Arabidopsis thaliana: one gene and its partners. The protein of the gene in region 3 interacts with the protein of the main gene of each other region in a biochemical or structural test. Each region holds a gene or a part of one and is shown on either strand. Other genes may lie near its edges.

Region 1 (8,302 bases), on a different chromosome or scaffold from region 3:
TTCCATGTTAAATGAAACCCGTCTTCCTTTGCTCGGATGTTCATCCTCTACACCCAACAACCTGCTTCTACCACCATCTCTTCCTCCCAATAACCTGAATTCTCCTTCTGTTTCTCGTCTAATAGCACTCTCTTTGATTTCTGATGAAATGTTGGAAGATTTCAAGCCATTTGCAAAGCTATGACCACAGTTTTCTTCCTGTATCTCTTGAACATGGAGATGGTTACTAGAGCTCCTCCTATTCCGCGATGGAGTCGAGTTTGTCCCGTGCTCTGTAACTGACATAACGGCAGCATCAAACGAGAGGACGTCGTTACCATCATACAATGGACTGCTGTAACTCTTCGGTATTGGTTTAGGCGACTGTCGTTGTTTCTGTTTTCTCTTGTTGGTTAACCAAATTGGTGGCAGTGGAGATGCAATCTTATTATGCTGATCAGAACCAAGAGGACTTTGACCCAAATCAATCCAAAACGAATTGTCGGATGACTCATCTTCACTAAAAACCGGACTTTTCATGAGTTCTCCAACCGAAACACTTTCTGTTTCTTCAAAAATTGTGGTGCTAGTAGTTCCATCTCTATCAGAAGATATGTTATCTTCTAGGAGCTCTGTTTCAAACACATCCCTCACTTGTGCTGAAGTGTATGCACCTGAGAAAGCTGGCATCTGAGTTCCTGGACGATGAGCTTCTTTGGTTTTATCGTCATTGTGATCTTCAAAACCAACCAATCCGTCAAGACCATCTACTGAATCACTGAGATATAACGGATATTCAGGCGTGATCTTCACTATACCTGATCCAGTTTTCCCTGATTGACTCTGAAGGCTTCCCATAACTGATTTTTTAATCAACAGGCAACCAAATCCTGTCGGGTCATGACCAAATACACGGTAGAACGAGGTAATGATAAACTCAGGCCGGAACAATGACAAACCAAGCGAATCCATATCTTTGGGACCTAAAGAACCAGCATCAAGCAACACATGCCAATGGTTCTGCTGAGCTAAAGCCATCCACTGGTAAGAATACTTAGTACCCGTAACACGAGACTGAGCAGGAAACACAAACAACCCAACCGCGGAATCCTTCTTCTTCCTCTTCTTATAAGACAACCGTTTCTTCAAATCAGTCGAACAAAGCTTCAAAGTAGGCCATTTAAACCAAGCATTATAAGCCTTTGCGCCTTTCTCCCTCGCTGTCTGCGCCATCCAATTCACAGACTGGCTCTCGTGATCAAACATTGTCAAAAGCCGCTTATTCGACTGAAAAGGATAAGATTCCGCTAACAATCTAAAAGCAGAGCCTCTACTAACTGTGAAAACAAGACCATACTCATTCTCAGGGATGTTCAAATAGTCCATAATCCTAGTTTTAATATCATGTTCCACAGTTCCACTCTCAGCTCCACCGTAAAGCGCATGGTTACTCAAATTGGCAGTTATCTCAGAGAGACTAAACGTACAAGTATCCCAATAGTGCAGAGTCTGAACATAAGAGAAGAGACCAAATCCACAGTAATCAAGACATACCTTAGAAGCTGATGATGATAAGTGACTATACTCATCAGATCTTAACTGATCAATCTTCTCAGAAGCTTGATACTTTGGGTACATGCTCAGAAACTTGGTCAAAGCTTCACGGAGCTCAGGAATTGAGTCTTCTGATTCGATAATACGTTCAGCTGCTAAAGCAGTGGCGCGTAGAAACTCACGCTGCGCGTGAAGTCTAGCTAAGGATCTGGAACGACCCAAGCTTCCATCTCCATTATCTTGGTCAATGTCTTGGGATTTGAAGAGTGAGCCATTCTCAGAAGCTTCTTCTAAAGCTTCCCTGAGCTTATCTTCATACAATTTCCGAATCAGTGCAGCTTTTTTCTTGACATTGAGAGACGAATCAGACCCATCTCTTCTTCTCCTGCTGCTCTTACTCTTGTCTAAGATCAGAGAAGCACAGTGATGAATTTGCTTCCACAGAGAGAAATGCATTTCAAAAAAAACAAAAGATTTAGGAGATTCGGCGAAAAGGGTTTGTTTTTAAGCTCATTATAAAACCCTAGAAGTAACGAACTAGGGAAGAACTTGAAGCAGATCAAAGAAGAGAGAGCTCAAAAATGGAAACTTTGAGAGAAAACAAAAAAAAAGTTTAGAGCTTTAGGCAAGAGAGTGAAGAAACGAAATTGACGGAAGAAGAAGGAGAAGAAAGTAAAAGGAGCAGAAATTCAACAAACAAAAGTACGAGAAAGAAGAAAAACACACAAGGAAGAAGGAATCCAAGAAGAGTCAAAAGGAGCTCAAACCCTAGGACCAGTCTAGAGTCTCTCTCAGGAGAGAAAGGAAAAATAAAATAAATTAATAAAGAAATAAAGCAAAAGGGAAAAAAAAAAACAGATCCCAAAATTTTGCATAGAAATTAAGAAACCACTCTCTTAAGTTATGTATAAGAGCAATCAATTTAATCAATTTTATTAAAGGAAGTGTCTTTGAATAAAAAAGCAAAGGTGACCCCTTTCACCACCAATCTCTCATTTCATTTACTACTACAATGGCTTCTCTCTCTTCTTCTTTAGACACTGTTGAAGAAAAAGGCATTGACTTTAACAACAATATCCAGAAAGAAGCAAAGTGGTGGTTCTTCATGAGCTAATACAATAATGTATGGTAATGGTGGTTATCAATTATTCAATTCCTCTAATCATATTCTATTATATGGCTAAGGTTTTTAAGTCAAATAACACAGAAGAAAAAAAACTTGGAAATAAGTCAAATAACATAAAAAGACATATTAAGGGGGAATATTAACATAGCATATACTATTTGACATTTATTTTATTTTATTCTGAATACAAGACAAAAAAAAAATGGCAGAGGAAAACACAATGTTTGTCTTCTTTTATCGTCCCCCGAAAGAAACGCATTAACTAGTCAACTCTTGCTATTGCGGAATTTTTAAGGATATATCAAAGACCATTTCTCTTTAACTCTTCTCCAAAGTCCAACAAATGATGAGAAGAAAAAAATGATGTCCACAGGAAGATGATAATTCAAAACTTTTCACTAATTTAATAATTTACTATACAATTGTATATTTATTAATATTTTATGTTTACTATATGAATAAAGTAAAAATAATACTAAATCAGACAGTTGGTTGAAACAGACGAAATATATATGCCTACATAAATGTAATGTTGGGTTGTGGGGATACTTTTGCCTACTTTGGACTCCATAGTCCATAGTCCATATACAAAACACAATAACATTATTATTTTGGTAGCATTAACAAAAAATATATATATAAATAACAATTTTGCAGCATTAAGGAAACAATATGGCCAACTTAAAAAAAAAAAAAAAAAAAAAAAAAAAAAAAAAAAAAAACAGGTTGGTAGTTGGTACACACCATTAGACTCAATGACCAACCACAACATTGGTGGGGATAGTCTTGACTTAAAAAAAAAAGAAATGCAGACTAACTACGATAGAGATCTTTATTAATGCAGTAGTATAGTAAGTTCATCGATAGAGGGTATTGTTTAATATGCATGGAACACAATGTGTTATTGGTAAAATAAAATGCTGTCTGTCTTTTCTTATAGAAGAAACTTAAAATCGAATAATAGTTTTAGTTTAGTTACTCAAGTATTTGTATGGTTTTAAATTCTTTGTCCTTTTCAATGAGTCAAAGTATGTGTAATGCTTTCATTCTCCTTTTTTGTGTTTATTGGACGACAAACTAGAATTATTATTCTGGTGTATTAAAGGTACTCATATGTCTCAACGAATAATTTACTTTTAAGATTTTAAATATACATATTTTCATATAACTTGAGAATTACTCGAGTCATATCATTGTGGTACAGTGGTACCGTACGAGTAGTAAAGGTATAGCTCCTAAAATTTCAAATTTGAATTGTGGTTTAAGTATAATCGAATACAATGCAAATTGCAAAGTTGTATTAGTTTGAAGTTAAGCATTAGAGATTCCAGAATATAGTTAAAAGTGTAAAGAGGGATTTTAAATTAAATGACGGAAACAAAAAGTACTTTAGTTACTTTGTACCTGAAGGTTGATGTAGTCATGTAACACAAATTTTGCATACATTAAAGTGTAAAACTAATTCAAAGAAATTGACTAATTTCATCCACAAATTTCTTTCTCGATTAGGCTTTTTGGATATTGAAAAGATAAAACCAAATAATCTTGAGGTGTAGAAAGATTGACTCGATTTTCAGATCGGTTTGGTTTTGGTTTAGGCAAATTCTTTAACCGTTCAACTGGAATCCATTACATCAGATCACCAACAGCAACAAAACACAAAATTTGAAAAGCCGTCAAGTTCTTACATGATCCATGCCTACTCCGATAGAAAAATGGAAAAGAAAAAAAAGATCTTCCATTTGTTTAGCCTTAGAGTACGTACATGCAGCAAAAGCATAGTTTCTCTTCTGAAACTTCTTCTCTCACTCAAGCTTGAATCTTACGACGCTGTCTCAGTCTTCCACCAATACTATTTGGGTTTGGTTCAGCAGACATCTTTCGCTTGCTTCTTGTTTCTCGGTTCTCTTTGTTTGCAGAGTTAGCCATCCTCTCAGTTTCACTGCACTGAGCCTCAAGATCGATGATCACAGGAGTTGCTGGATCCACCTCTTTCACATCTAATGGCTTGAGATCACCATCAGTCACTGAAGTTTGGTTGTTCCCAGACGACAAGAAGCATAATGACTTTCTAGCTGAATCCGGATTCTTGTTTGAGCCATCATCATCATCGAGATTTTCGTCAATTTGATTGTCCTGAATCCCATCAGTTATGAGAAGGAGATGATCTCCTTCTGAAGCTTGACTATCTGCAGGAGCATCAGTTTCATCATCCTCACTTGTTTCTGACTGTTGGTTGGTTTGAATCAGATAATGTGCAACAGACTTATACCCGAGTTTATGTATCTGAGAACAAAAGAAATTCAAAGGGAAAGCCATTAACTTTTGAATCTATCCAAGGACTCAAAATCAGAATTTTCACCATGGATCATACTAATCGAAATAGCTACCTTCCTGTAAGCTGCACCAGTTGGGAGCCACCCTTTTTTTGTACGACAGAAACTGCAGTTGCAGATATCGCGACAGACTGGACAAATCCAGTCCGGATTTTCCAGAGCTTCAAGAACATGTTCTCCATATCTGTTCAATCACCAAAACATAACCTAAAACATTCAGTTCCAATCCTCATTTTGCTGAGCAAAGCAAGCTACTCAATTCCCAGTTGATTCTCACAAAAGGAATTACTCAAAAACACAGAAACAAAGAAGGTTGGAGGCTAATGTACCTCATGTATAAACAATCTCCACAGAATTGACCTCGAACAGAATGGTTACACTGGCTGCATTGGGTATGATAACCTAGCGTCTTCTGCCTGTAAAATCCACAGTAACCATTAAACACATTAGCCTCAATCCTAACCGAATCAAACTACATCTTCAGAGATAAAGCCAAGTGTACAAACCTGCACTGGTGGCAACACTTTCCTCTAACAGGGTCATAAATCCGTTTCCCATTTTTGTCACAACCATCAACAAAAAGCTCCCAAGTTCGTTCTGTGTTACCTAACAGTTTCTCATGCTCCTCAGTGTAAATCTCTGGCCTTACGCCTTCTCCTACCCACAAAACAATCTCTTCTTTAGACACTTTACCCTTCTTCAGTTCAGGTTCCTCTGCGTAGGAAACTGGTGTAGCGTTCTTCAATCTAAAGACCACAACAGAGAAGGCAATAAAAATCATTACTTTCTATTAAAAATCCTAGCTTCCTGTTAAACCCTTGATTTTGAACAGAATCCAAAGAACGAAACGAGAACCACAGAGATTGAATACGAAGAGATTACCTCGAGGATCTCCGAGAAACTGGCGGCTCCTGCTTCAATCTGATTATAAAACAGCGAAATGATTTCTCTAAAAACCCTAGATTTCTCTAAAACCCCTAATTTTGGAAGATTGAAGCAATGTGAACAAAATCGAGAGAAGTCAGTGACTGAAAACGAAGAGATTACCTTGAGGATCGTCTAGAGGAGACGGAAAGCTGAATAGGAGATGTTTCTCGACCCGGATTGGCATTAGAGTTACCGTAACGCCTTTTGGCGGGTCGGATCTCGGATTTGAGTTTGAGAGAGAGATCCATGATTCCGAGATTCTTCATCCTCTGAAGATTCTCCTTGATCCTGTCTTCTCTGCATTTCTCGTAGATCGAGACGTTTGAGTTTCCTCCTCCGACTGTTGGATTAGGGTTTGTGACGGGAATCGAACATTTCGCTCTCGTTCTCACCACAGGCATTGTGAGAGATTGATGAACTGATTTTGGATTCAAAGTTCCAATCTTTCCCTCTTTCTCTCTTTGGATCTCTGGATAAGAAGAAGAAATGAAAGATTTTTTTTTAACTTTTTAAGTGAGTGAAGCGGAACAGCAACGGTCTGGTTTTTTTACTCTTTTTAAAATTCAAAACATTTTTCACCTTTTTAGGTAAATGTGCTTAATTTGCCAACTAATGAAAACGTTGATTGGTTTGTCAAATGGAAATCATATTTATTATCTATCATACATCTGTAAATTTATTTTTCTTAAAGGGCCTTTAGGCTTTAATAACGGCCCATAAAAAATCCCAAATTGTACTACGAAGAAGAATAAGCCGCCATTCTTTATCTTTCCATTCCTTCCTGGAGATTACGCATTAATATATTTAGATCTTAGGTCTTATTAGCTTCTTTATTCGCACTTTTTTTTTTCCTCTACTCGAAGCTTAACGATCGTAACAATCATGGCGACGGCTTCAGGTACCATGATTCCTTCAATTTCTTCTTCTAATACTTTAACCTAATTCTCGATTTCTCTGTTAATTCCCGTTGATGATTAAGAATCTCGCTTCTGATATCTTCTTCTTTCTTTAAATCTATATATTAGTAAATTAGGGTTTTTACTAGTTTTGCTATTGGCTAGATTCATTTTGGCTAAATTCTGGCAAAATTGATTTTATTTTTAATGTTTGAATGTTGTTCTGATATATGTTTTCTATGGGATCTGCAGTTGCTTTTAAGTCTAGGGAAGATCACAGGAAGAAATTAGAATTAGAGGAAGCTCGTAAAGCTGGTCTCGCTCCTGCTGAGGTAGACGAAGATGGCAAAGAAATCAATCCTCACATACCTGAGTATATGTCAAAAGCTCCATGGTATCTCAAGTCTGAACAGCCGGTATATGCGAAAATTCTTCTTTCTCTTGCTTCTCTGCATTGTCTTGGTTGAGAACATTCACACTCATACTCTGTGATTTTTTTTTGTACAGAGTTTGAAGCATCAAAAAAATTGGAAAATTGAACCCGAACCCAAAAAGATATGGTATGATAGAGGTAAAAAGATCTATCAAGCTGAACAATACCGCAAGGGAGCGTGTATAAACTGTGGTGCAATGACTCACAGTTCTAAAGCATGTATGGATAGACCTCGTAAGATTGGAGCTAAATACACAAACATGAACATTGCTGCTGATGAGAAAATCGAGAGTTTTGAACTTGACTATGATGGGAAGAGGGACAGATGGAACGGTTATGATACTTCAACCTACCGTCATGTGGTAGATCGTTATGATGCTAAAGAGGAGGCACGAAAGAAGTATCTCAAGGAGCAGCAACTTAAGAAACTAGAGGAGAAGAACAATAATGAAAACGGTGATGATGCAACCAGTGATGGGGAGGAAGACCTTGACGACTTGAGGGTCGATGAAGCTAAGGTTGATGAGAGTAGGCAAATGGATTTTGCAAAGGTTGAGAAACGTGTTCGAACAACTGGTGGTGGTAGCACAGGAACTGTTAGGTATGGACTACTCTTCATCAAACATGATAACATAAGTTTAAATTGGTGTTTCTACTTGATGCACTAATGGTGTTACCTTTTCTTAATTTCAGGAATCTGCGTATCAGAGAAGACACTGCTAAATACCTGTTGAATCTTGATGTAAACTCAGCTCATTATGACCCTAAAACTCGGTCCATGCGTGAAGATCCACTTCCAGATGCAGATCCAAATGAAAAATTCTATTTGGTTAGTTTGTGATCATCGTGAATCATGTAGTTGTATCTTATATTTTGATGATATGAGAATACTAACTTTTTTTTTCTTCTTATCATCTATCCAGGGAGATAATCAATATAGAAACAGTGGCCAAGCTCTGGAGTTCAAACAGATAAACATCCATTCATGTGAAGCATTTGACAAGGGACATGACATGCATATGCAAGCGGCTCCATCCCAAGCTGAATTGCT
Region 2 (7,897 bases), 5.1 Mb from region 3:
CAACATTGACATGCACGACTCCAGCAGCAGAGGATATGAGCACGATGCTCCCTGAGCCAGAGGCTTTTAACAATGGGTGGGCAAGCTGTGAGAGATGGAAAGCTGACTCGAGATTTGTAGCCATTACAAAAGAGAAATCTTCTGCTGTATACTCTGTGGTCGGCTTGAATATTGACGTTCCCACATTGTTGACCTACATATGTATAGATCCACAACAAAAAACACAACATAATTGGGTTCTTGTGGATCCCAATACCGAGGAGGACGAAGCTTATATATGTATACTTACGAGGATGTTGAGTTTTCCTTGGTAGAGAGAGGAAACAGTTTCCATGAGTTTCACTCGTTGGTCACGAGAAGAGACGTCGCAGACAGAAGTGGTGACCTGAAACCCTTTTGCTTGCCATTCACGTAAGCGTTCTTGAAGCTGAGTTTCGTCTCTGGCACACGTGTGGACTTTTGCTCCCAACATGGCTAGTTCCTCCACCACAGCTTCCCTATTCATGACACACACAAACAGAGTTAGTTCTTCCATAACTAAACATGACAATACAATAAAAGAGCATAGAAAATGGGAGTCAAGATTCACAATGGGGACTGACCCGATGCCTTTAGAGCCACCAGTGACAAGAGCGGTCATGCCTCCAAGACTCCATCTTGAGTTCTCTCCCAAGCCCCCTTCCTTTGCCATTCCTTGTTAAATATCAACCTACGACGATTCTTTTCTTCAACCAAGATCACAGATCTTATATAGAATTGATCAAGACTAGTTGTGATAGTTTTGAACTTTGAAACCTCGCTCAATTCAAAATTCCACATTATGATAATGACTGCTCGACCACACATATCCGTGAGAGGGGTAGACGTAGTACGAAAATACTACTTTTCCTTTTGACAAGTCTTGTATAGTAAAGAAAGTCTTTATGAATTAATAATGAAGACCCCTTAGTTAATAGAGCACCACATATTGGTCTACCATTTACGTGTCATGAGCGTAGTTAAAATTTATATAATTAAAACTAATTTATATTAGCATAAAACTTTAGATCTACATGTATCAATTTAACCACTTAAACCCCTGGTAAATTGTGTTAAGCCACAAACGGTTGTGGGAATTTCTATGCATACACAACCATTGACAAAAAACCAATAATTAAGTGGCCATCGGTCTCACAGGCCACACAGCCCTTTGTCTATCACATCTGGAGATAAACGAATAATGTTCTCCATAATAGCCAAAGGATCCCTCCAACAACCATCTTTAAGAATATTGATCGAGAGATCCGGAACACCATCTCTGGTAGACGATACAAGAACAGATGGAGGAAGCTGATGCTTCTTTGGATTCGATAGCTCGGATTCTTTCCATCTCTTTTTAAATGCATTGTAATCTTGTTTCTTTTTCTTTTTCTTTTTTTTTTTTTTTTTTTTTTTTTTCTAAGATTGCTCTACTTTTAGGTAATATTTTGTAATATATACCTTCTATTTCATTTCATAATGATATTACAAGTTAGTAAAAAAAATTGACAACAAACATTTCATTTCATGCATGACCATTGTTGTCAATTTGTGTGGCCAGTAAAAAAAACAAACAAACAAAACATATGTCAATTAAAGATGTGACTTTTTCGAATATACATATATTCTAGAAGATGCATTTTCAAAAACCTTTCTTAATTTTTTTATTATTTGTTAACTAATATGAACAAAAATCAATATAACTCCAACAATACTCTATATTTTGTATTCAAACTCAATAACAACCATAAACGTCGTATCAGCTACTAAACCCAGCAAAAATATGGATTATTATCTAGTTATACTTATATATAGGATTAAGGTAGATGGCATTTTACTAGCCACAATGTCTAAATATTTGATGGAGACATTAAGCAGCCATAAGAAACAACAGAACAACTAAACGTGCTAGTCATTAGCTCTCTTGATAAGTGACATTGAAGAGTTTGATCATAATTTCCAACCGCGTTAGTGAGGGTCCATCCTTTAACACTAATTCCATCAAAACATCAATCATGGCAGTAACATCCATATATAATCAAGTGCATGTATGGTGTACCAGCTTCATTATGCTGTCAACTGGATTTTTAGAATGACCGTAACACATCATATATGTATTAGAGAGAAAATAATATCAAATGCATGGAAATTTAAATAAATATGGCTGACATGTTATTGCAAATGTAAGTTATTGCAAACGAATTGACATCTACTATCTCCACCAGTTACAAGAGAATTTTTACCATGAAAGACTCTTTATCTTTGATCAATTTTTACTTTTACCTGTGACTAGCAATGACCAGAGATGCCACATGACATATATAGAGTCAAAGTAGATCAAACAAGATAAATACGTTTCTATGTGTAGTAAAGAATTGATGAACTAAGAAAAAATAGTAATGGTTCTGAGTTATTTTGATATATTTGTTGAACTTCAAAAAGAAAAAAAAATCAGGATACACAAATTAAAACAGAGTATTAACATTATTTAAATACAAGATCGAAATAGAACATTTTCATGTATGAGAGATAGATTGGGAGAATATCCATAATGGAATTGTGATATTGTATATGATTTTGTTCATATACTCATAGTGTGAGAGATTTGATTTAAGAGAACACTGAGAATTCATGACAAACAAACAGAACGCGACATGACCATTCTCAAGCCTGTGGCTGATAGGTGAAGCCATTAACAGTTAGACCTCCATCAATACAAATGGTTTGACCATTTGACCAGTAATATATGAAGCTGCAGGGAGACACAAGAAGACCACTAGTGATGAAACTTCATTCGGCTCTCCAACGCGACGAAGTGAAGTTCTACTCAACAATGCCTCCTTGAAACCAATGTCAAAAAAAAAAAAAAATTGGTATTTGGGTGGTAGAGTTTAAACTGTAGTGGAAATGCTATGCAGTCGTATAAACATTTATATGAATCCGGTATGGGCACACCACAGCATTTATTAATTAATAGTATGTCATAAAATGGTATATCAATGTATCATGTAGTTGGTCACAAAAGGTTTTCTCGTTGCCATCCATTGAATTTTGGGTTTATCTCTCTGTGATTGCTTTATTTTGAGTCTCTATTATATATATGCTAGTTTTGAAATTCACTTTTGTTATTTTGGGTTCAACTATGAGGTCCCAACTTTTCTAAGTCTACCGGTTTACAACAAAACAGAGCATAAAAACAGAGTCTTCTTTTCACTTAGTAAGTTAGTAGTAAACACAAGATGGAATAGAACATTTTCATGTATGAGAGATACATTGTAAGTATATCCATAATGTAATTATGATATATTTATTTTTTTATTCATATACTCATAGTTTGAAATATTTTATTTGAGAGAACACTGAAAATTCTAGACAAACAAAAAGAACGAGACATGACCATACTCAAACCTCTGGCTGATAGGAGAAGCCATTAACGGTGAGACCTCCATCAACACAAATAGTCTGACCAGTAATATAAGAAGCTGCAGGTAGACACAAGAAGGCCACTAGTGATGCAACTTCATTTGGCTCTCCAACACGACCAAGTGGAGTCCTACTCAACAATGCCTTCTTGAAACTGACGTCCTCAAGATACTTGCAGAAACACAATTAAGAGAGGGTTAGATTAATTCACATAAAATCGTTGTTACATTCACATAAAAAAAGAAAAGAAAAAGTTGTTAGTTTATTACAGATTGAGACAGAGGAGTATTGATGACATTAGGCGCAACAGCGTTGGCTCTTATGCCGTCTTTTGCCCATTCACATGCCAAATTTTTAGCTAGCTGAATCAAAGCTCCTGGATAATAAATCAACAAAACATAGAACATAAAAGATTTATTAGTCAGTCTTGCAATGAACACTATCCATCTACTAAAAACTCTGTCTCTGGCTACCTTTTGTTAGACCATAAATGGATCCAGCGTCAAAAGATATAACCCCTGCAATAGAGGAAACAAAGATGATGCTTCCATAGCCTGAAGCCTTTAGGAGAGGATGTGAAAGCTGGCTAAAATGGTAAGCAGCTTCCACGTTTGATGATATATGAAAAGCGAAATCGTCTTCGGTATATTCTGTTGTTGGCTTTGAGCGGATTACGCCCACATTGCTTACCTATGCATGTTGAAAAAATTGGTCTTTAAAAGATTTCCCCCACGAATATGATTAACTTGATAGTATCTTTAAATTAATTTACTTACAAGAATGTTGAGTTTGCCATCGAACTGCGAGGAGACGGTTTGCATCAGTTCTTCTCTCTCGGGACGAGAGGCTACATCACAAACTGAGCCACTTACTTGAAAACCTTTCTTTTCCCATTCGCTTAAACTTTGATTGAGCTTAGCTTCAGAGATGTCACATACATGGATTCTAGCTCCAAAACCAGCCAACTCTTCTACTATGGCATAACTAAAACATTCCAGAAACATAAACTACTTCAAATCTTAATGTTCAAACAGATTCAGACCAATGGGTAAAATAGATGACATAGAGAGAACAGAGAAGAAAGACGAACCCGATTCCACTGGCTCCACCGGTCACAAGAGCAGTCATACCTTTGAGACTCCATCTTTTGTCCATTTTGCTTGTAAGTTACTTTCAATGACCAGAAATGCTACATTATATATACACACCTAGTGAGTATTAGATAAGTGTCAATTTTCTTACCATAAAAATAAAAGATAAGGGTCAATTAATGAGTATGTTTGTATGTGTGGTGGATATATTAGCCATAATAAATAACATGACAAAATATACAAGTCAGTGGTCAAGAGCAAATATGACTTTTAATAGTCAAAATCTTGATCTAAACTTACTCATTTTTGTTTCTTTCTTTTCCATTAATTTCATTCAAAAGATGACAACTGAAACGACAAGTCAGTTAGACTGGTGAACAAAATTTTTGTAAAACATTCAACGTGTTAGTTAGGTAACAAGAAGGCAAATGTTTTTTTTTTCATAATTTGGGTAGTTATCTTCAACTAAGATTTCCAAATTTTTTTTCTAATTAGGTTTTTACAAAATATCTAAAGTTTACCCATTGTATTACTTTAAAATACCGTTTGTTCATTTCTATTGACAGAGTTTTTGCTGAATATTTGACACATTTGGGAAGATGTAATTATACTCTTTTAATTTCTAATTATTATAGTATCTTGTAATGACTTGTTCTTTCCCTCCTTTCGCTTTTTAGTTAAGAAGTAAATGCCATTTAAGTATTTCAAGCATAGATACAATTGAAATTGCTAATGGCAAGGGAAGAAGAAAATAACTGTGTCTACTCCATCTCAATGATATCAATCCTCATAGTATTATGATCCACGTAATTATATTCGTTATGAGAAGCGTTGTCATGGAGAATGCATGCATAATACGGAACTGGTAAATAGATATTCCATTATTGAAAAATTGTGTCTACTCCACAACTCACATATCTATGGATTTAGATTATGGAGATACTGACCATATGACCATACTCCACAACACACAAGACAAGACAAGACATGGCTCAAGCCTATGGCTGATATGAGAAGCCATTAACAGTGAGACCTCCATCAACACAAATGGTCTGACCAGTAATATATGAAGCAGCAGGTAGACACAGAAAAGCCACAAGTGAGGCAACCTCTCTTGGTTCTCCAGCGCGACCAAGTGGAGTTCTACTCGACAAAATCTCGTTAAAACCAGCGTCTTCGAGAAACTGAATGTTTACAAGATTGTAAAAAACAAGAATAAGAGTGGGTGATGATGTTAATTTTAAAAGGAAAAAAAAGAAAAAAAAGAGAGGGTGTATTGGTTACAGGTTTAGCCAGAGCAGTGGTGATAAAATTAGGCGCAACCGCGTTGGCTCGAATGCCGTCTTTTGCCCATTCACACGCCAAATTTCGTGCTAGCTGATTCAAAGCTCCTGAACATATACACAAACAAGAAAAAATAATACTATGACTATGAGAGACATCTATTAGGATTCCCAAAGAAAGATAGACCAATTTAGAAATAGAAACGAATGATACTAGGGCAATCAATTAGCCGTTAGAATCAGCTTTCGGAGACATAATGCGATATTTATGAACCATCTAAATAAAAATAAAAAGATTTATTATCCATAAATAACATGCATAGTTATAAATTAGTTTTGTTTTTGTATGTTATTGAATATGAATGCCCTATATTTGACCTTCTGAATTATATATTTCTGAAACCAAAAATGTTAGCATAGCACACTAAAATAAGATTTCACGCACAAAAAAAAAAAAAAAACAATTCTTCTCAAATATCATTTGAAATTATTAAATGGGATTGAAAATTATCCTAATCAAATATATAATATACATAATGAAACATATATAAATCCACAATACTATTTGGTCATTCTTGCAATGAACTTCCTCTAGTATTAAACTTTTCACTATGGTTACCTTTCGTTAGACCATAAATGGATGCAGCATCAAATGATACGATCCCTGCAGCAGAGGAAATAAAAGTAATAATTCCGTTGCCTGAAGCCTTTAGGAGTGGATGTGAAAGTTGGCTTAGATGATAAGCAGATTCCAAGTTTGTTGAAATAAGGAACGAAAAATCTTCTGCCTCATATTCTATTGTTGGCTTTGTGCGAATTGTGCCAACATTGTTCACCTATATTGAACAGAAAAGAGTATATATTCATGTCATTTCTAAATAGCTTAAAGATATGCTTAGTTTCTTTAAATTAAGATTAACTTACAAGAATGTTAAGCTTGCCATCAAATATTGTGGTGACAGTTTGCATAAGTGTTTCTCTTTCGAGACGATTGGATGCATCGCAGACTGAACCACTCACTTGAAACCCTTTCTTCTCCCATTCGGATAAACTTTGATTGAGCAGAGTTTTCGATATGTCACACACATGGATTTTGGCCCCAAAACCGGCGAGTTCTTCTACTATAGCATGACTAAACATTCGATAAACATAATAAAACTCCTTAAAACTTTAACAATTTAGAATGAATTTTAGAAACAGAACAATGGGTAAAAGAGTTGATATAGTGAGAATCTAGACGAACCCGATTCCGCTGGCTCCACCGGTCACAAGAGCAGTCAAACCTTGGAGACTCCACCTTTTATCCATAGTCCTTGTATGTCAATTTTCACTGACCAGAAATGCTACACATTATATATATATATCCAATGAATGAGTATTAGATAAGTGTCAATTTTTAGCCATAATAAAGAGATGACAAAAATATACTTAGTGGTCAAGAGCAAATATTAATTTTAATAGTCAAAATCTTGACCAAAACTTACCATTTTGTATTTTTTTCATTAACTTCACTCGCAAATTAAAAGACTACTGAAAGACTACTGTTCACGTGTTTAGGTAGTAAGAATTTGAAGCGTTAATAATAATACTTAATTGAGACAAGAGGGATGTAGACAAATTAAAGTAAGAAGCTTATGTAGGATGAGAGACAATGAGATTAATCTATTTTAAGTGTGGAAGATTATCTCTAATATTATTCGAAGAAAAGTACAATGAAAAAACGATCCATCAATTTTGAAATTAAAGTATTTACTTGAATTGTCATTCAAAGACAAATATAAAATGCTCATTAAGCGTGATAGAGTTAACTACTCTAACCAATTATATAATATTTTTTTGTTTGTTTGTTATCGATTAGTCGTTCAAGATTCAAATTCGCCTATTATGAATTCAAGACTCAAGATCACGCAAGCCCATATGTATCTATCAACTTGATTCAAGATTTTTTTTTTTTTTTTTTTTTTTTGACAGCCTTTTGATTCAAGACTCAAAAGGTATAATTATGTGTGTGAGGGCCTTGCTCGCAAATTATTCACAAAATGGATTAATCTAATAGCGAAAGAATAAAATAATTCACAAGAT
Region 3 (9,325 bases):
GGAATTTGATACTTTTGATTTTTCGAGAATCTTGAAAATCAGTCATGGGTTCTGGAAAAGAGCGTGACACTTTCGTCTACCTCGCTAAGCTCTCTGAGCAAGCTGAGCGTTATGAAGGTAAGGAATCTTCTTCTTCTTCTTCTCACTCGAATCAGGTCTTTTTGATAGCTTCTTGAGCTCGATTTCTGTTTGATTTTACTGGACTTTGATATCATCGAACGGGTTTCAATCGTTTGGTTTGATTGAGAGTTTACGAATGGGGAACTTCTTATCAAGGAATTAGATTCAAAAGTCTTGATTTTTAGCAGATGGGTATTGAAAAATGTGAATTCTTTTTTTCACAGAAATGGTGGAATCAATGAAAAGTGTTGCGAAATTGAATGTTGATCTGACGGTGGAAGAGAGGAACTTACTCTCTGTGGGTTACAAGAACGTGATTGGTTCAAGGAGAGCTTCGTGGAGGATCTTCTCGTCGATTGAACAAAAGGAAGCAGTGAAAGGGAATGATGTTAATGTAAAGAGGATCAAAGAGTATATGGAGAAGGTTGAGTTAGAGCTTTCTAACATATGCATTGATATTATGTCTGTCTTAGATGAGCATCTCATTCCTTCGGCTTCCGAGGGTGAATCTACTGTCTTCTTCAACAAGATGTAAGCTCTATAATGCTTCTTTACATGGTGTTTAACTTAAGGTTGTGTGTCTGAAGATTTTGTTTTGGTTTTTGTAGGAAAGGTGACTATTACCGCTATCTTGCTGAGTTCAAATCAGGGAACGAGAGGAAAGAGGCTGCTGATCAGTCTTTGAAAGCCTATGAGGTGTTCTTATAGTGATTTGTAGTGTTATTGATCACTGGACATTCTTGGTTTTTCGTTACTTTACTTTTGAGTTTTTGTTTGTTTCTTTCCTTTACAGATTGCTACTACTGCTGCTGAGGCTAAGCTCCCTCCAACACACCCTATCAGATTGGGTTTGGCTTTGAATTTCTCTGTCTTCTACTACGAGATCATGAACGCACCTGAAAGGTTTACAGATTGTTAATTATACTACTAAGATAAGAAAAAAGACTCATTGTTTTGGAGATTTGAGATTTTTTTTTCTTGCTCTTTTCTCTTCAGGGCATGTCACCTTGCTAAGCAGGCGTTCGATGAAGCTATCTCAGAGCTTGACACTCTGAACGAGGAATCCTACAAAGATAGCACCTTAATAATGCAACTCCTTAGGGACAATCTGACCTTGTGGACTTCTGACATCTCAGAAGAAGGAGGTAATGATCATCACTCTGGACCTAAGCACACTCTTTAAATATGATGTTTTGATGTCTTACACAATTGCTCTTTGGTGTTTTTCCATTCTAGGTGTATTTGTTCATTGTCATTTCTTATGTGTAGTGTTGATTTACTTGAAACCAATGAATCTATAAGACAATTTAAGCATATCCATGGACATTCTTGATGATAGATAGTTGAAATAGCATCTGGAAGACGATTGCCAGTTTTTATCAATATATATTTTCACTTGGACTTCAACTGTTAATTTTGCATTTGTGTGCAGGAGACGATGCTCATAAGACGAATGGTTCTGCCAAACCTGGTGCTGGTGGAGACGATGCAGAGGTAAGTATAAGAGATTCCTTTACTCGGGGTAAATCAAATTAAAATAAGCCGATTTTGATTCAAGATTTCTTTGCTTATGTTGCAGTGATATGATATGTGTGCACCTGGACAATATGTTTCAAGAACTGAATGTGCGGTGAATAATAGTGAAAAGTAGAGTTTCTCTGTTCCCTATATCATGATTGTCTATGTTACTTGTACTCTGGTTTAGCCCTAAATGTCTCTCTGGTTTGAATGTATTGCATGCCTGTCTCAGGACACTCTTATTTGTAATTCACTACTGTCGTCTTACTATCTATCCTTATGGATCCAATCTTGAAACTTATATTCCTTCATTTCTGAATTGCTGAGATAGAAGCTGATTGGATTCGGTACTCTCTGATTCATATTCTGTCACTGATTGAATCAACAACACCAAATACAGTAAACTCTGTTCAGTTTCTTTCACTGGTGTGGTGAATAATCTAGCATACACAAGCCAAGCGTAAATAGATAATGAAGCTTGCATTTCTTGAATCATTGCGAACATTTACCCATACGTAATATGCCAAAGCAAGCAGAGCCAAACTCCAAAAAATAAATAAAGAAGAATTAGAATCGAATAAGAAGAAAGAATGAATAGTTTGTTGAATTTGACAGAAGAGCTCTTTCCCATCTTTCACATAGAATGCTTTCTGAGTCTTTTAAATAGGCTATTCGGATCGAATCATAGGGAAGCAGATAATGATGATAGGGCTTTTTCAATCATAAGAGGAAATGCTTTATAGAGTCCTCTAGAAACTGATGGCTAGGACAAACCATCTCCTTCACTTTATCTCCATTCTTGTACATCTTAAATGTCGGAACTTTCCTGATACTCTCTGCTTTCGCCAACGCCATGCTCTCCTCCACATCCACCTAATAACATTTCATTTTCTCAGTTAACACATTGAGAAACATAGGTTATACATATAAGTTTAGAAGAAAATGTGATATAAAAAGCATATTTGGAATGTGTTCTTGTTCTTACCATAAAGAAATGTACTAATGGATACCGAAGACATAAAGTGTTGATGAATGGAGAAATTTCTTCGCATTGTCGGTTTGATGATGATTTGAAATGAAATACAGAGACACCTGAAGAGAAATGTTTCCAACTTGAGCAAGACACGCAAAATCTCAACCTTTTGAGACAAATTGAAGTTTCTCATTAGACTTACCGGGAAGTGCTACGGATTTCTTGAACTTATCCAAAGTCGAAACCGCTTCAACTTCATTATTGAAACCTAGGCTTTTAGATTCTTGGCTTCTGTTCATTAGCACTGTTTTCGCTCTCTCTAGAGACTCTGCAACTTCACTGTCTCCTGGAAGTTCTCTTCTCAAGAACTCATAATCTTTAACCGCATCCTCCCACCTACCAAGCTATATATTTCAACACACATTGTCATTCGAATACACTGCAAAATTCTGTCAATAACTGATTATAGTAAGTTCTAATCTCACCTTTCCATATGAAGCAGCCCTACGTAGAAGTGCCTTGATGTAACTAGGCTGGCTTTTGAGCGCATGGTTACAATCTTCAACAGATTTCTCCCACAAACCGAGCTTATACCAACACGCTGCTCTGTTGCAGTACAAAACCGAATTGGAGTCATCTTGCTTGAGACCGTCTCCATAAGCTACACACGCTTCCGAGAATCTCCCCGAACTAAATAGCTCATTACCACGAGTACGTGCCCGCACAACCATCTTCACATTGTTTAAAACTGATACAACCTCAGGATTGGTTTGATCAAGCATCGCAGCTCTCTCTGCCTTGACAACCGCATTCTCAAATCTGCAACAAACCTATCATATCTACTCACTCACCGGTGGAGAAACAAAAATCCAAAGAATCACAACATTTCTGAGTTTCGAAAGCTCACCTTCCTAATGCCATATCAACTTGAGCTTGGATACAGAGCACATAAGCTTCAACTACCATACCAAAGAGTTTCACCTGCGGTTGAGAATGGTAATGATGATCCAATCTTGGAATGCAAGATACACAAAAATCCGAATCCTCTATTTGCTTAAGACGCAAAAAGGCTTCTGCTTTACAAGCTACAAGCTGTCCAAACCAATAGAAAAAACCTCACTGTTAGTCAAAAATCTTTACAAGCATATCATACGACAATGATATGTAATCACCTGAGGAGACGAATCAGCGCCGTTTGCAATGGCTGCATCGGTTTCCTTAATCGCGGTTTTCCAATCTCCAATCTTTCGAGCCTCCCAGCATCGTCGGAGATGCTTCTCCAGCGTCTGTAGCCGTTGGAGATCAGCTTGATCCGGACATTGACCAGAAAAACAAATGTGACGTCTTGCATTCTCAGCTTCACCCAATCTAAAGCAACAATTCACTCCATCATTTCAAATTCTCAATCTTTAAACTAAAAACACAGCAACAAAACAAAAAGCCTCTCAAGATTACCTGAGATAGAGAGAAGCAAGTCTTTGGTGAGCTCTGGAGTAAGAAGGATCAATCCTAACAGCTTCAAGACATTCTTTAACGGCTTCTCCTAACCGCCTCAATGCCGTTAAAGCCGCGGCACGGTTGCTTCTGTAAGCTGCATTTCCCGGTGAAATCAAAATTGCTCTGTCATAAAGCGACAGAGCTTCAGAGAAACTCCCTCTCCTATACATATCATTCCCCATTCTCTTCAACTCCTCCGGGTTTTCGCCATTCTCCGCCACTCTCACCGCCTTTCCGCTGGTTCCTCCTCCTCCGCCGCTGCGTACAACGTTTCCATGTCCGTAATTACCAGTTCCTGTGCATAGAGTCTCAGTCCTACTTGAAGTCCGAGACGCCATTCCAGTTTTCAAGATCCGACCCGACGGACAAATATTTCCCGCCGGTAAAACGCCAGTATTGGGAGACACTGCCGACGTAGCACCGCTACCACCTCCTTGTGGCGAGGTGTGACTCGTTGCTGAAGTAAAGCTAGAGCCAGAGAAGATCAAAGGCGTGCCAGTAGAAGAAGATCTTCTATGACCCGGTTTAAGAATCCGGGTCGTGGTCGGCATTCCGGATCCGGGGCTAGAAAGCTCACCGGAATGACTCTTGTAAGCATCATCTAACCGTTTAGCCATCTGAGAACTCACCGACGGTTTACCAGAAGCAGAGCCAGAAGAGCCAGAGCTGCTAGTAGGAGTCGCAGCAGCGGAAGAAGAAGCAGAGCCACGTGGCATTAAGGTAGAAACAGGAGAACCTAGATCGAGTTCTCGAAAATCAGGTTTGTTGACGTCATCATCATTTCTCTGTAAATCACGAAATCGACCAGTGATTGAATCTATAGCAGGTTCCAACGAAAGTCTTCTAGAATGAGACATCGTCGTCACTTCCTCGTGAGCTGAATCTAAAATGAGACTCAGCTTCCTTTTCTTCTTCTCAGAGAAGTCAAGAGACCACCACCGAAGCTTTTAACGCCGGACAGAAACAAGTACTGTCTTCAGAGAGAAGAGAGAGAAAGAAGAGGAAAAAGAAAGACAGATCTCGTGATAAATAGAAAAGGAAGACGCAAAGAATTAAGATGAAGAAAAAAAAAAGGATTAACCTTGATTAATAAAGATTACGGATTTATCTCCCTGAAGATTATGACATTGATCTTCTTCTTCATCTTCTGTTTATCTCTCTTCGCTCCCGTGTCTTCACGGCTACTTGTCGTTGAAGAAAATAATACGGTGATTTATCGAATTTATTATTAATTAATAAACTCTATAGTCTAAAATAGTTGACTTTTTAATTTTGAGCACAGTGTTCGAATATAAACTAATTAGACTTTTTCTAACATTTAATGAATTTAAGTTTTCTTAATAAATTAAAACATTTAACCCCTTACTAACTAACTACATCTTTTTTTTTTGGTGCACACTAACTAAGTACTAAAGTACATCTACTTTCAAATTGTTGCGTTGTGTTACGGAAACGAATTATGATATAGTACATTGTATCTGTTAATTTGTATGAATGTTAATTAGTATTTAAAATTACTAGCTTCTGACGTCAAGGGCACGAAGATTCAAGCACGTTCACTCATGTTCCCAAAATGTTACTCTATCGAAATGTATAACATCATTTATTAATACAGACTATGCAATAGCATAAGCAAGGCAAGCTAGCTATATGTACTAGTATCATATTAGGATTTTTTAAAAGTAAACACTAAACCTTCGTAGGATATTCAATGCGCCACGACATGTTACTATTTTATCATTATTACTAGTATTTTTTTGTTGCAATATGTTTCATTTATCAAACCCACTTTTAGGGTCGTTGTACAGAAGTCTCGCATTAAATTGGCCGACTCAATTTTTATTAAATTGAATAATTGTAATGGTATTTTTTAGACATTAACATTTTAACTAGTGTTTAGTTAGTTGTAAAAAAAAATCTGGACAAATTACTAAGAAATAAGAAGTTATATTCTAGAAAGTAAATCTAATGATTATTTCTACAGATACAATAGATTTTTATTATAAAAAAAAATTAGTTAGAAGTATGTCAACAAATCACAGACTTTTGGAGTTTGGTTAAACTATTTGACCAAGAAAAATGAGAAAAAATGCCACGTAAGGATTTCAACCCTCGTACTCAGAGACAGCAAGATAGAGGGTAAAATCGTCATTCGATGTAAGATGTATTTATCAAGCCAGCCAAACTTTTGTTTAAGCCACCATATATATTGTACTATTATAAGCATATAAAGTAATCTTTTATTGCAATAGCCAATTTAAATGTAAATAACAAATGTGTGTAATGCAACAAAAATAAAGAAAATTACAAATGAAAGTTCAATATCTATTGCAGAGCTGGCATTTTTAAAATCTTCATTTTGGTTTTCGGGTGTCCTTTGAAAAGGCTGTCATAGTTCTCTTTTTTTCTTTTCTGGGGATTACTGTTTAATTCATTCGATATAGAGTAGTTAATTTGCTGAAACTCATAATTAATTACTTTGTATTAACTATTTACTGTTTCTAGTAGATCATGGCCAGTCCGTACCGTTCAGACCTACGGAACCACTAATTACATTGAACCAAGCACCATGCATGCCTTCATTTTATTTTATTTTTCTCTAGCTAGGTCATGCCTCGCACCCTCAAATTATTTTCCATATATAGTCAATTAATTTTCTCTTGACTTTTTCTTAAATAAATTATTTCGCTATATAAAAATATTTAAAACAATAATAGGATAATTAAGAACATAACGATAATAAATAGTAAATACTAATTAAAGAAAAAAAAGGATAAAAAAATAGAAGGGTGTTGCGGTAATTATGGGGATAATTGCAAAACGGTGATCATGCCAGCTGGTTATTGACTTCTCTGCTGTGTCTGCCAGCTAAGCACACAGTTTCCGTTAACGGCGTTTAGTTTTTCAATAACGGATTATTCTGTTAACACCGACGGATTATTCGAAAACTGACCTCGAGCCCGCCAACGCCAAGCATGAGATGGGTGACGAATGACGATAGTGACTCACTATTTTCACTTAAGCATACATGATAAGTAGCAATAAAAATTACATTCGTAAAATAATTCTAATATGACTGACTATATGCGTTTTTTTTACCATAGACAAAATAAATTATGGGTTTGTTGAATGGCAGAATACTGAATACGTATAAGTGAAATGTGCATTTGAAGATAAGATTGGCTTTCAGAATTATATATTTATGTCTCACATTTTTATTAATACTTCTTTATTATCTTAATTCATAAACGACATAAATAAAAAAAATCAGTCTAAAACGACACTTGCTTTAAAATGAAAGGAATATTATTTCTCCACGGATTTAACTCAAAATTTAATAATTTGGACACCATTTGCATTAATAGCGAATGAACACACCAATCATACAATTAGACTGATTATTCAAACGCATGTCACATTGTTTGTTCCGCCGGAGACATACAAAACATAATACAATGCGCAGGCTGTAATGTTTGAGCATGAATGACCCCAATCAAAATAGACAAAAGAGGAAACGTGTGAAAATTATAAAAATAAAGTACAATTAGTTGCTAATAATGTGTTTTACATCTTTTTTGTTGACTCTCATTAAATCACTGTCGGGCCATCTTTTTAATCACGAGATTCGAGTTTCATATCAAACAAAAGAAAGTATCCAATCTTTTTTACAATTTCACCCGTCGGCAAACATACTTTACTTATTACTAGTACTTATCTAATCCATTACAGTAATTTAATTTAAACGATGCTTGATTTGATTCAAGGTGTGCCGAGAGGAAAAAATATTTGTGTAAATAAAACTTTGTAACTGCTTAATTCTATTAAGACAATTCCTTAGTCAAAATACTACACGAATTATTTATATATGTACTGTTTTCTAACTAACGATATTTTTATTGCCTAATACATGCATTCGTGTTCGTGCTATAATCTTTCTTATCTATGTGTATCTCCATGATTCTTGATTATATATACAAAAACGTAAGAAAATTATCTGGTTTTCTTTATTATTCGATTAATCAGTTTACTAAAAGCTAATCCACGCTTGTCTTAACCACTATGATTCTTAGTTAAGGGTATCCTATGTTTCATCAATATTATTTTAATTTTTATTTACAAATTATTAAGATCATAATGTCAGTCCAAGCAAAGAATATATGTAGATCGCATTACCGTCCAACTCGCATTTTATTTTTGTCAACCCGAAATTTTTTTAAGTTAACATTCGTTTACTCTAATTTTCTAAAGTAAACAAGTACTTTGCTTTAGAGTGAAATAGTTCATCTAAATTCTAAAACTGGTACGTGACCAAAAACGTTGGTGGTAATACTTTTGGTCTAGTCTTTGGCCAATGGATGTATGATGATGGCTTTCAGATTATATATAGAAGCCAAGTTATAAGAACTGTAGACTCATGTAGTTTGAGAAAAGAAATATCTTTAAAATTAGAAAAACAGCTGCATGTTTGGATAATTGATCATATCCGTATGTATAACTAAATTTAATAGATCAATTATATATTGCCATGATGTTATTTGTTGCCACCTGAGGTTAGATGCTCTATCATGTGAGCATATGCTGATATGATATGAATCTTCTTTACCTTCATCATCATCTCCATCAACAATTTAATTTATTTCATATTACCACTCTTTAAAATTTAAAACAATACATAATTGAAATCTAAAGGTATATTGGAATACCTATTCATGTACTAATTAAGAGATTTTTTTTTTTAATAGTACTAGCTAGTAAGATAAATAATCGTAGTAGCTATTATTGGAAAAAGCTTAATAAATTTGAGATTTCTTTATAATCTGTTATCAAAATACCATCACTTTTAGTTACAAAACTTAATTTTCTAATAAAAGGGAGTAAAACTAATATATTTATTTGTAAGTATGTTACTTGTTTTCTTTGAAAATGTTTTAAAATAAAATAGAAAATAATTGATGAACTTTTCGTAAATGAGGGAGTGTATGTGTGCTGTGCAAAACATTCCACATGCACCATGTCTCAAATTTTGAAGGGTAAGGGTAAAACTATACGCATACCTTTTGATTTAATGCAATTATGTAGAGTTTGGTAAATGACGTTTTAAAACTAGAAAATAACGTTTGAAACTTTTTAACAAAAGAAAAGTTGAACTATATTTTTTTTGTGTGGGTTCACTAGTTTCTTCAGTTCACTGTTGGCAATATGTATTCTTAATACCTT
Region 4 (6,932 bases), on a different chromosome or scaffold from region 3:
GGATCATTAGATTATTTTGTTTTCATTTCGATTTACTATTGCGTGAATTATTCGTGATCTTTCAAGGTCTTTTAGATAACTATTCTAAATATTTTGGAACTATAGTCGGATGATTTTTTTACTGAGAACTGTAGTCAATTATATTTAAGGTAACTTTAATTTGTGACTGACAAGATCTTTTGAATTCTTAGGCCATGAAAAGCAATGTTGTTTTGTCTTTGACATAAAAGACGAACTTGTAGCAGTATCGGTCTCTACTGCATCAATTACACATTCGCTTATGTTTTTGTATATACACTAAAAATGACAACATAAGCAAAAAGTGGTAGATGGAGGTAGTCAGTAGTAGAAATCTTTCCAACAAGTGATATCTCTTTATATTATCCATAATAAACTCAGTTTGCCAAAAGACCTATACATTGGATTTCAACTCTTCATTTTTTTTTGGGATGAATAAAAAACAGAGTTAAGAGGAAATTTTTATATATAGAGAAAAAAAAAAAGAAGGAACTTGAATTGCGTTTTGCAATGTGTTTTTATATATAGTGGATAATGTATATATAAGATATATATAGATGTGGTGAGAGTAGAGTCAAGTAGAAGGTCCAGCTAAATCACCACCACCTGAGATGGAGAGGAGAGGTCGGCGTGAGGTACTGCGACTGACGAGATGTGAATCAAGAAACACAACTATGACTGTTATATCATCATGAAAATGTCTCCGCACTCCTCTATCGATCTTTTTTAGATCCGAATATCTCATCTCTCTCTTCTTTGCTGCCTCTCTTAGAGCTGTTTTTATGAGCTTCCTTGCAATCCCCTGCATACCCACATGTTCTCAATCAATCTTTCTATCTATTTGCACATAAAACGAGAGAGAGTAAGAAAGAGCAAGTGGCAATCTTACATTGCGCGGGCATGTGTTCACAATGTCAACAGCTTCTTGATTGGACAAGTGCTCCCACAAGCCGTCTGATGCAAATATAAGAAACTGATCTTCTGGATGGATTTTGTGTACTGTAATTGCCGGCTCTGCTCTAAGGATGGGCTTATGGAAAACCTCAGGGACCCTGAACTTTGCCAACAATGGTTCCCGGTTGAATTCTGCTTTCTTTAAGTATGCATCACCAATCGACCGTGAAACCTTCAAGAACCAGCCACGGGTTATATCTAGCGAAAAATCCTCTTCTTATACATGCATAGGGCTTACTTAGTTGTATCTTTCACAGTCAAGCTACTTGCAAGAAAAGAGTCTAGAAGTCAGCAACTCGCATTACCGTGAAAGTATTTTTACCTGTATAATACCTTTGACACGCCAAACTTTGTGCTTCAAGACCACAATCTGAGGATCATTTGGATGCAACGAGCGCAACTCCTCTCTCACAGATTCAAGACTTGCATTATGCTCAGACGATAACTGAACGGCCTTGACAATTTTAAACGCTTTTTCCAGTCTTCCTAGCACAACCCGAGAATCTCCAGCGTTTGCAATATACAACAATCCACTACATATGATCCCTACCAGACAACAAGCTCCAACAGAAGCAATCTGTGGTTTAATCTGCCACTGCCGCCGGACAAGAGAAAGAAAATCTTCTTCCGTAGCTAAAAACGCTTTAGTTATAACATTGGCAGACATTCCATGATTCTCTGATGTAAACTCTGCAATCAGAAAATGTCACCAACTTAGAACATAGATAGTCCCAAACACACACATATCAAATATAACAAAAAAGAAGGAAACAACGTACTCCTGATGTTGTCGAAGAGGTGTTTATTAACGAAACGGGCAGCTTCAGGACCACCATGACCATCATAAACACCAACAAAAGTAGCTTGAGGACCAGAATCAAACATACTAACAGGTCCAGACTCAAGCTTGCTATGATCTTCGAGAAGATTATTAGCTTGAATAACAGACATAGAGAACTCTCCAGCAACATGGTTACCAGAATCTTTATACCAAAGAAGACCATCACATCGACCATTAGCGTCTCTAGTAGAATGATCTCCTTTAACAGAAGGTCGCCTCCAACATGGTGCTACCATCCGCAATATAGTTGCCGATGATACCATAACTCACATAATCCCCTCAATAATCAAAATTTCTTTACTTCATCTAAAAGATCACTAACACCCCCAAAAAAACGGAATCAAATCAAAATTTGCTTATTCCTCCTTCCCTAAACAATACACCAATACGAATGCATCAATACACATTTGTCGCGCATATACAATTACGAATTTTCTTCAAGGATCGAGATCAATTACCTTAAAAAAAAAAAGCCGCGAAATGATTTACCGTTCGGACAAAACAAAAGTGAAAATTGGATCGAGATCGGAAGCAGGAGTTACGATAAGAAGGAATCGTAACTCCGGTTGGGATTACAGAGAGGAAGAGAGATGACGAGAGAGAAAGAAAACAAATCTAGCAGGCGACTCTGTCAGAATTCCTTATTTGGGGGTTCGATTTCTCTTATTTTTCTCTCTTTTTTTTTTTCTTTTTTTTTTGATGCTTTTTTGTTGTCATTTGGTTTTCGAGTTTAGCTGTTTAGGCATTGACCTCAGAAACAACCCGACGTTTTAGGCAGCTTTTTCTCCCATAGTTAGCTACGTTTCTCCATTTTTCAAGATTACTAATTTTATTAAAATATTACTATAATAAATAGATTTTTATTTACATTTTCCATAATCTGAATGAAATCAAATATATGCAAATATCAAAAGTATCACCTGATCACCAATTCCTAGTTTTGTCCAATGATACTGATGATTCATCAGCCGATTGATTGAAGGAACAAATTTGAAGTTTTCCACTGCTAGTTGAATTATGGTTAGTTCATTTGACTTATCAAAATCAAATGACTAAAATATTCGAATTTTCTTACATGCTGTAGAGATTAATTTCAATTTTAATTCATCATCCCATTATCTATATAAGAAAAAAGTAGAAACATTTCGCGAAATACAATCCACCTTCTGGGTTGTTGTCTTGTTGAATATGGTCAGGAAAATAAGACCATTAAAGCTTCAACCTCCAAGCCAAAGAGCAAATAAAATACTACTGATTAACGCAAAAACATGGAAAAAAAATAAAGTCTGCAAATTGGCATGTTGACATGTTGTACGCGTAGCTTTACAACCTCACAGGTCGTTTTTTTTGTGTGACAGTTTTAACCCCCAAAATCTCTTTCTTTTTGTTTTTCCCTAAAGTAAAAAATAAAAATCTAACATGTCCGAAGTCGAACCAAACATAAACATACAGGTGTTCGAAACTAGTTAACACAATAACACCTCTAGATATATATATGATTATGGTATTACTTTTCTTTGGTGATTTTTTTGTTGGGAGAGAAACATAAATAAACAAGTTGGCCCATATTCCAGCGATTTTCCTCACCCTTCTTTGATATCTCAGTTTATAAAAGTCATGATACTAATAAATTAGAGTATACTCAAAGAAAAATCAGAAAATACACCCAAAAAAGCAAAAATGTGAGAAAGAGAAACATGTTGTTGTCCGCTGTATGGCGTCATAAGCCATTCTAGAATCATTGAAATGCATATTTAATCCTCTCTGGTAATTCCAAAAAAGCGATGAGGGTATTAACGTAAATCCACCAGAAGACGAGAAAGTGGGGATGGTGGAAGGAGAGATGATAAGAGAGATGGAAACGCGTCTCTCTATGAGGCCCATATTCCATTCTTACCTCTCTCTACCTCTCTATCTCTCTCTCCTCATAATCGATCCGTAAACTCGCCGGAGGAGCAGGGAGATTCAATAAGACGATGGCTCAGAGAACGGAGAAGGAAGAGACCGAGTTCAAAGTTCTCGAAACCTTGACGACAACAACAACGACGTTATGTACCAATAACTGCGGCGTTACAGCGAATCCTGCGACGAACAACATGTGTCAGAAATGTTTCAACGCATCTCTCGTCTCGGCGGCCGCAGGTGTTGTTGAATCAGGTTCGATCTTGAAGAGATCGGCTAGATCTGTCAATCTTCGTTCGTCACCAGCTAAAGTCGTGATTCGTCCAAGAGAGATCGATGCGGTGAAGAAGAGAGATCAACAGATCGTAAACCGATGTTCTGGTTGTCGGAAGAAAGTTGGGTTGACCGGATTCAGGTGCCGATGCGGTGAGCTTTTCTGCTCAGAGCACCGTTACTCCGATCGTCATGATTGTAGCTACGACTACAAAACCGCTGGTCGTGAGGCGATCGCTAGAGAAAATCCGGTGGTCAAGGCTGCGAAAATGGTCAAAGTTTAAAAAATTAAAAATTCGATCTCAACCGTTGAAAAACTTGTGGTGGTTCAAAAGCTCCGATCGGAAGAGAGATTGGTCGGAGAGACATGGATTTGATTTGGTGATGTGTTGTAAAAGAAGATCAGAGAGATTATTCCTCTCCTCAAATCAAAATCTGAACCTCAATTTTTTTTTTTACGTTTTTTTTTCATCTTTTAATTTATATATTAGTGAATGATTATTAATATTATTATTGTGTGGCTTACGGATTCATGAATTTGCTTCTTGATCATCGAGAAATGGTGTATGTAAGAGACGAAGGGGTTGTTTGGTAATTTAGGAACATGTCTTTCTGGTTTCGTTTCGTTTCGTGTGGTAGATGTACTTATCACGATACTACTAGTCCATTGTGCGTCACAACTCACAAAGCCAATTTCTATCAGACAAGTTTGCTTGGCGTATAAAATAGCAAAGCCAATAACGTGTTTGAGTTTGTATGGGTTATCATCTTCTTGTGTTCCATTATTTTTATAGATTTGTATATTTTAAAGCATAACATATTAAACTATACATTAGACTTTTGTTTTCTTTTAATAATATTAACATGAGCTTACTCATTCTACGAGTTTTTTATGTGAATTATTTTCAACGCATACAAAAATATCTTGCATATATCTTAAAAGTCCAACAAAATACTGTTCTTTCATGCAACTATCATTGTAGCCAGACTATAGTTATATCTACTTAATAAAATGTGTAAAAAAGTAAGTTCATTGGGACAATTTTCAATTGTCATCTAAAAATTGCAACAAAATACTGTACTTTCATGCAACTATGATTATTTATAACTCTAGTCAGAAAAAAAAAACTGACGGAAAAAAAAAAAGTCAGAAAAAAAAACTAAAAGTTGGAGCACCTAATTAGGCCCAACCCAATAGTGAAAATATAAATGTGTTGTTTTAAATTGAAACACAAAACGCACCGTTTATAATTAAAAGAAATTCAGAGAGGCTTTTCATATCTAATTTGTTCCGTCCCTTAGACATTAATCAGGATTTCAATCGTCTGGGTTGCTGCTTTCTGGATTTCTCCGACAGAAACCCAAACCCTAGTACCACCACCTTGAAGCTCCTTAATTCTATCCGTTCTCGAATTGAATCGTGCATAGGTTAGGGTTTTAGTGGCGTGTATATATATATTCCAATTTGTTGATTCCTTGGGCTCTCTCATTGCGGTGGCAACAAGTTAAGGTCTTTGATAATAATCTCGTAAAGGAATTTTCAGTGAAGATGGGAAGCGCCGATCTAGTCGATGATCGGACCTTTAACGGTGATTTCAGTGTGGAAGGAGTTGCTAAGTTGAAAGAGATGGTCAAGGATAAACTCAAGGAGTATATGGGCGATTACACGGATGACATTCTTGTGGTACGATTTTATCGATTCTCCATCTTTTTCAGAAAATTGGAATATCCGCTTTTGGGGTTTATTATTCGTGTTCCTTGTAGCTAGAATTGCTGAGTTTTGGAATTGAACTTTAGTTGTTCTTATTGTGGTGCTAAGAAGTCTCTTTAGAATTCAAATGACAACAAAGTCTTTTGCTTGCAGGAATATGTGATCGTCTTGCTTAGAAATGGGAGAAGAAAAGAGGAAGCAAATAATGAATTGAAGATATTTCTTGGAGATGATAGCGACTCTTTTGTGGCCTGGTATTTATATATTTCTTATCTTTGTGTAACAAAGTTTATTGCTTTTTTAGAAATTCATATTCACTAGGAGGATATATGCAGGTTGTGGGATCATCTGGCTGAAAGTGTAGATGAGTACTTTAGTTCTAATGTGGAGGGAACTACCATAAAAAGCTCATTGATAAGCAGTCATGAGGATAAAGCACTTGTTCCTCTGGATTCTGAATATGATAAGGGACGATCTGATAAATCAAATGGTGCACGTCGTGGTAGACAATGGAGAAGCCAGCCGACTAATGTCTCTGAGATCCCTCCTCTTCTGAGCTCTGAGGTTCACAAAATTCATAACTACGAGAAGAAAGATCATAAACACCGACATAATAAAAGGTCTCCATCTCCGCAGGCTCAATCTCAGAGGAAAAGGTCTAGAACTGACGACTCACGGAATGAACAGGTCTGTTATTTTGTTAATTTCTGTTGAATAGCAATCACCACGTAATACTTGGATTGGAAAATTGAAAAAAATGCTAAAATAGTTTATTGGATGGGATATTGTGAAGACATTCTCAGTGTAAAGTTTTGGTCAGAGGGCATCTTTGCGTTCTGCTTTGTATGAGACTAACAAGTCAGACGTCCGTATTACTCTTATCTTTGTGTTATAAGGTTGCCTTGTTCCAGTATTTGTCCTGCTGTAAAGCCAATGTATGGATACTGGTTATGGTTCTCTGATTTTGTTTTCTTTGACTTGTTTGATAGAGGGAAGCTAAACCTGATGTCTCTCGCCGGCTGCTTCAGTTTGCTGTGCGAGATGCTCTAGCTATATCAAGGCCGGCAAATAGTTCGACTGAATCCTCATTAAAACGTCTTCGTTCAGTGGTGTCCACATCTACTCAAAACTCATCTGACCCTGATCCAGCTCGGAAAATTCGATCTGTTGCTAGGGTTGTGAATCCCATGGCTACTGTTATGAAAGCTGTCGCCGAAGCAGCCGAAGATGCCA

The links.
Region 1: the proteins of TTL3 (region 3) and AT4G37110 form a complex in vitro, tested with the Arabidopsis thaliana proteins (one study listed by BioGRID).
Region 2: the proteins of TTL3 (region 3) and AT2G29340 form a complex in vitro, tested with the Arabidopsis thaliana proteins (one study listed by BioGRID).
Region 4: the proteins of TTL3 (region 3) and SAP5 form a complex in vitro, tested with the Arabidopsis thaliana proteins (one study listed by BioGRID).

What each region holds. Positions count from the first base shown.
Region 1 is NC_003075.7:17,479,875-17,488,176, forward strand, and holds AT4G37110 (Zinc-finger domain of monoamine-oxidase A repressor R1), read right to left. Parts: upstream 6,527-8,302; 5' UTR 6,324-6,526; coding exon 6,043-6,323; exon of another isoform or gene 5,917-6,042; coding exon 5,878-5,916; exon of another isoform or gene 5,777-5,877; coding exon of another isoform or gene 5,742-5,776; coding exon 5,502-5,741; intron 5,412-5,501; coding exon 5,325-5,411; intron 5,180-5,324; coding exon 5,050-5,179; intron 4,946-5,049; coding exon 4,469-4,945; 3' UTR 4,156-4,468; downstream 1-4,155. Other genes in the region: AT4G37100 (Pyridoxal phosphate (PLP)-dependent transferases superfamily protein), read right to left, coding at 1-1,989; SMP2 (Pre-mRNA splicing Prp18-interacting factor), read left to right, coding at 6,805-6,820, 7,071-7,234, 7,326-7,852, 7,945-8,080, 8,175-8,302.
Region 2 is NC_003071.7:12,593,830-12,601,726, reverse strand, and holds AT2G29340 (NAD-dependent epimerase/dehydratase family protein), read right to left. Parts: upstream 4,613-7,897; 5' UTR 4,597-4,612; coding exon 4,532-4,596; intron 4,426-4,531; coding exon 4,218-4,425; intron 4,132-4,217; coding exon 3,915-4,131; intron 3,818-3,914; coding exon 3,711-3,817; coding exon of another isoform or gene 3,699-3,710; exon of another isoform or gene 3,613-3,698; coding exon 3,427-3,612; coding exon of another isoform or gene 3,421-3,426; exon of another isoform or gene 2,859-3,420; coding exon 2,718-2,858; 3' UTR 2,431-2,717; downstream 1-2,430. Other genes in the region: SAG13 (senescence-associated gene 13), read right to left, coding at 1-193, 290-497, 603-691; TRI (tropinone reductase), read right to left, coding at 5,531-5,716, 5,817-5,923, 6,435-6,651, 6,740-6,947, 7,059-7,123.
Region 3 is NC_003071.7:17,724,495-17,733,819, reverse strand, and holds TTL3 (tetratricopetide-repeat thioredoxin-like 3), read right to left. Parts: upstream 5,342-9,325; 5' UTR 4,966-5,341; coding exon 4,067-4,965; intron 3,980-4,066; coding exon 3,784-3,979; intron 3,704-3,783; coding exon 3,519-3,703; intron 3,431-3,518; coding exon 3,097-3,430; intron 3,016-3,096; coding exon 2,814-3,015; intron 2,731-2,813; coding exon 2,624-2,730; intron 2,512-2,623; coding exon 2,359-2,511; 3' UTR 1,984-2,358; downstream 1-1,983. Other genes in the region: GRF9 (general regulatory factor 9), read left to right, coding at 45-117, 345-651, 729-816, 914-1,023, 1,117-1,265, 1,553-1,656. UniProt on the Arabidopsis thaliana protein: Involved in osmotic and salt stress tolerance. May play a role in the control of meristematic cell size during osmotic stress. May function as an adapter protein for BRL2 and may be required for signaling affecting leaf vascular tissue pattern formation.
Region 4 is NC_003074.8:4,008,918-4,015,849, forward strand, and holds SAP5 (A20/AN1-like zinc finger family protein), read left to right. Parts: upstream 1-3,690; 5' UTR 3,691-3,789; coding exon 3,790-4,272; 3' UTR 4,273-4,666; downstream 4,667-6,932. Other genes in the region: AT3G12620 (Protein phosphatase 2C family protein), read right to left, coding at 593-820, 908-1,144, 1,295-1,662, 1,752-2,076; AT3G12640 (RNA binding (RRM/RBD/RNP motifs) family protein), read left to right, coding at 5,538-5,672, 5,853-5,953, 6,035-6,386, 6,689-6,932. UniProt on the Arabidopsis thaliana protein: May be involved in environmental stress response.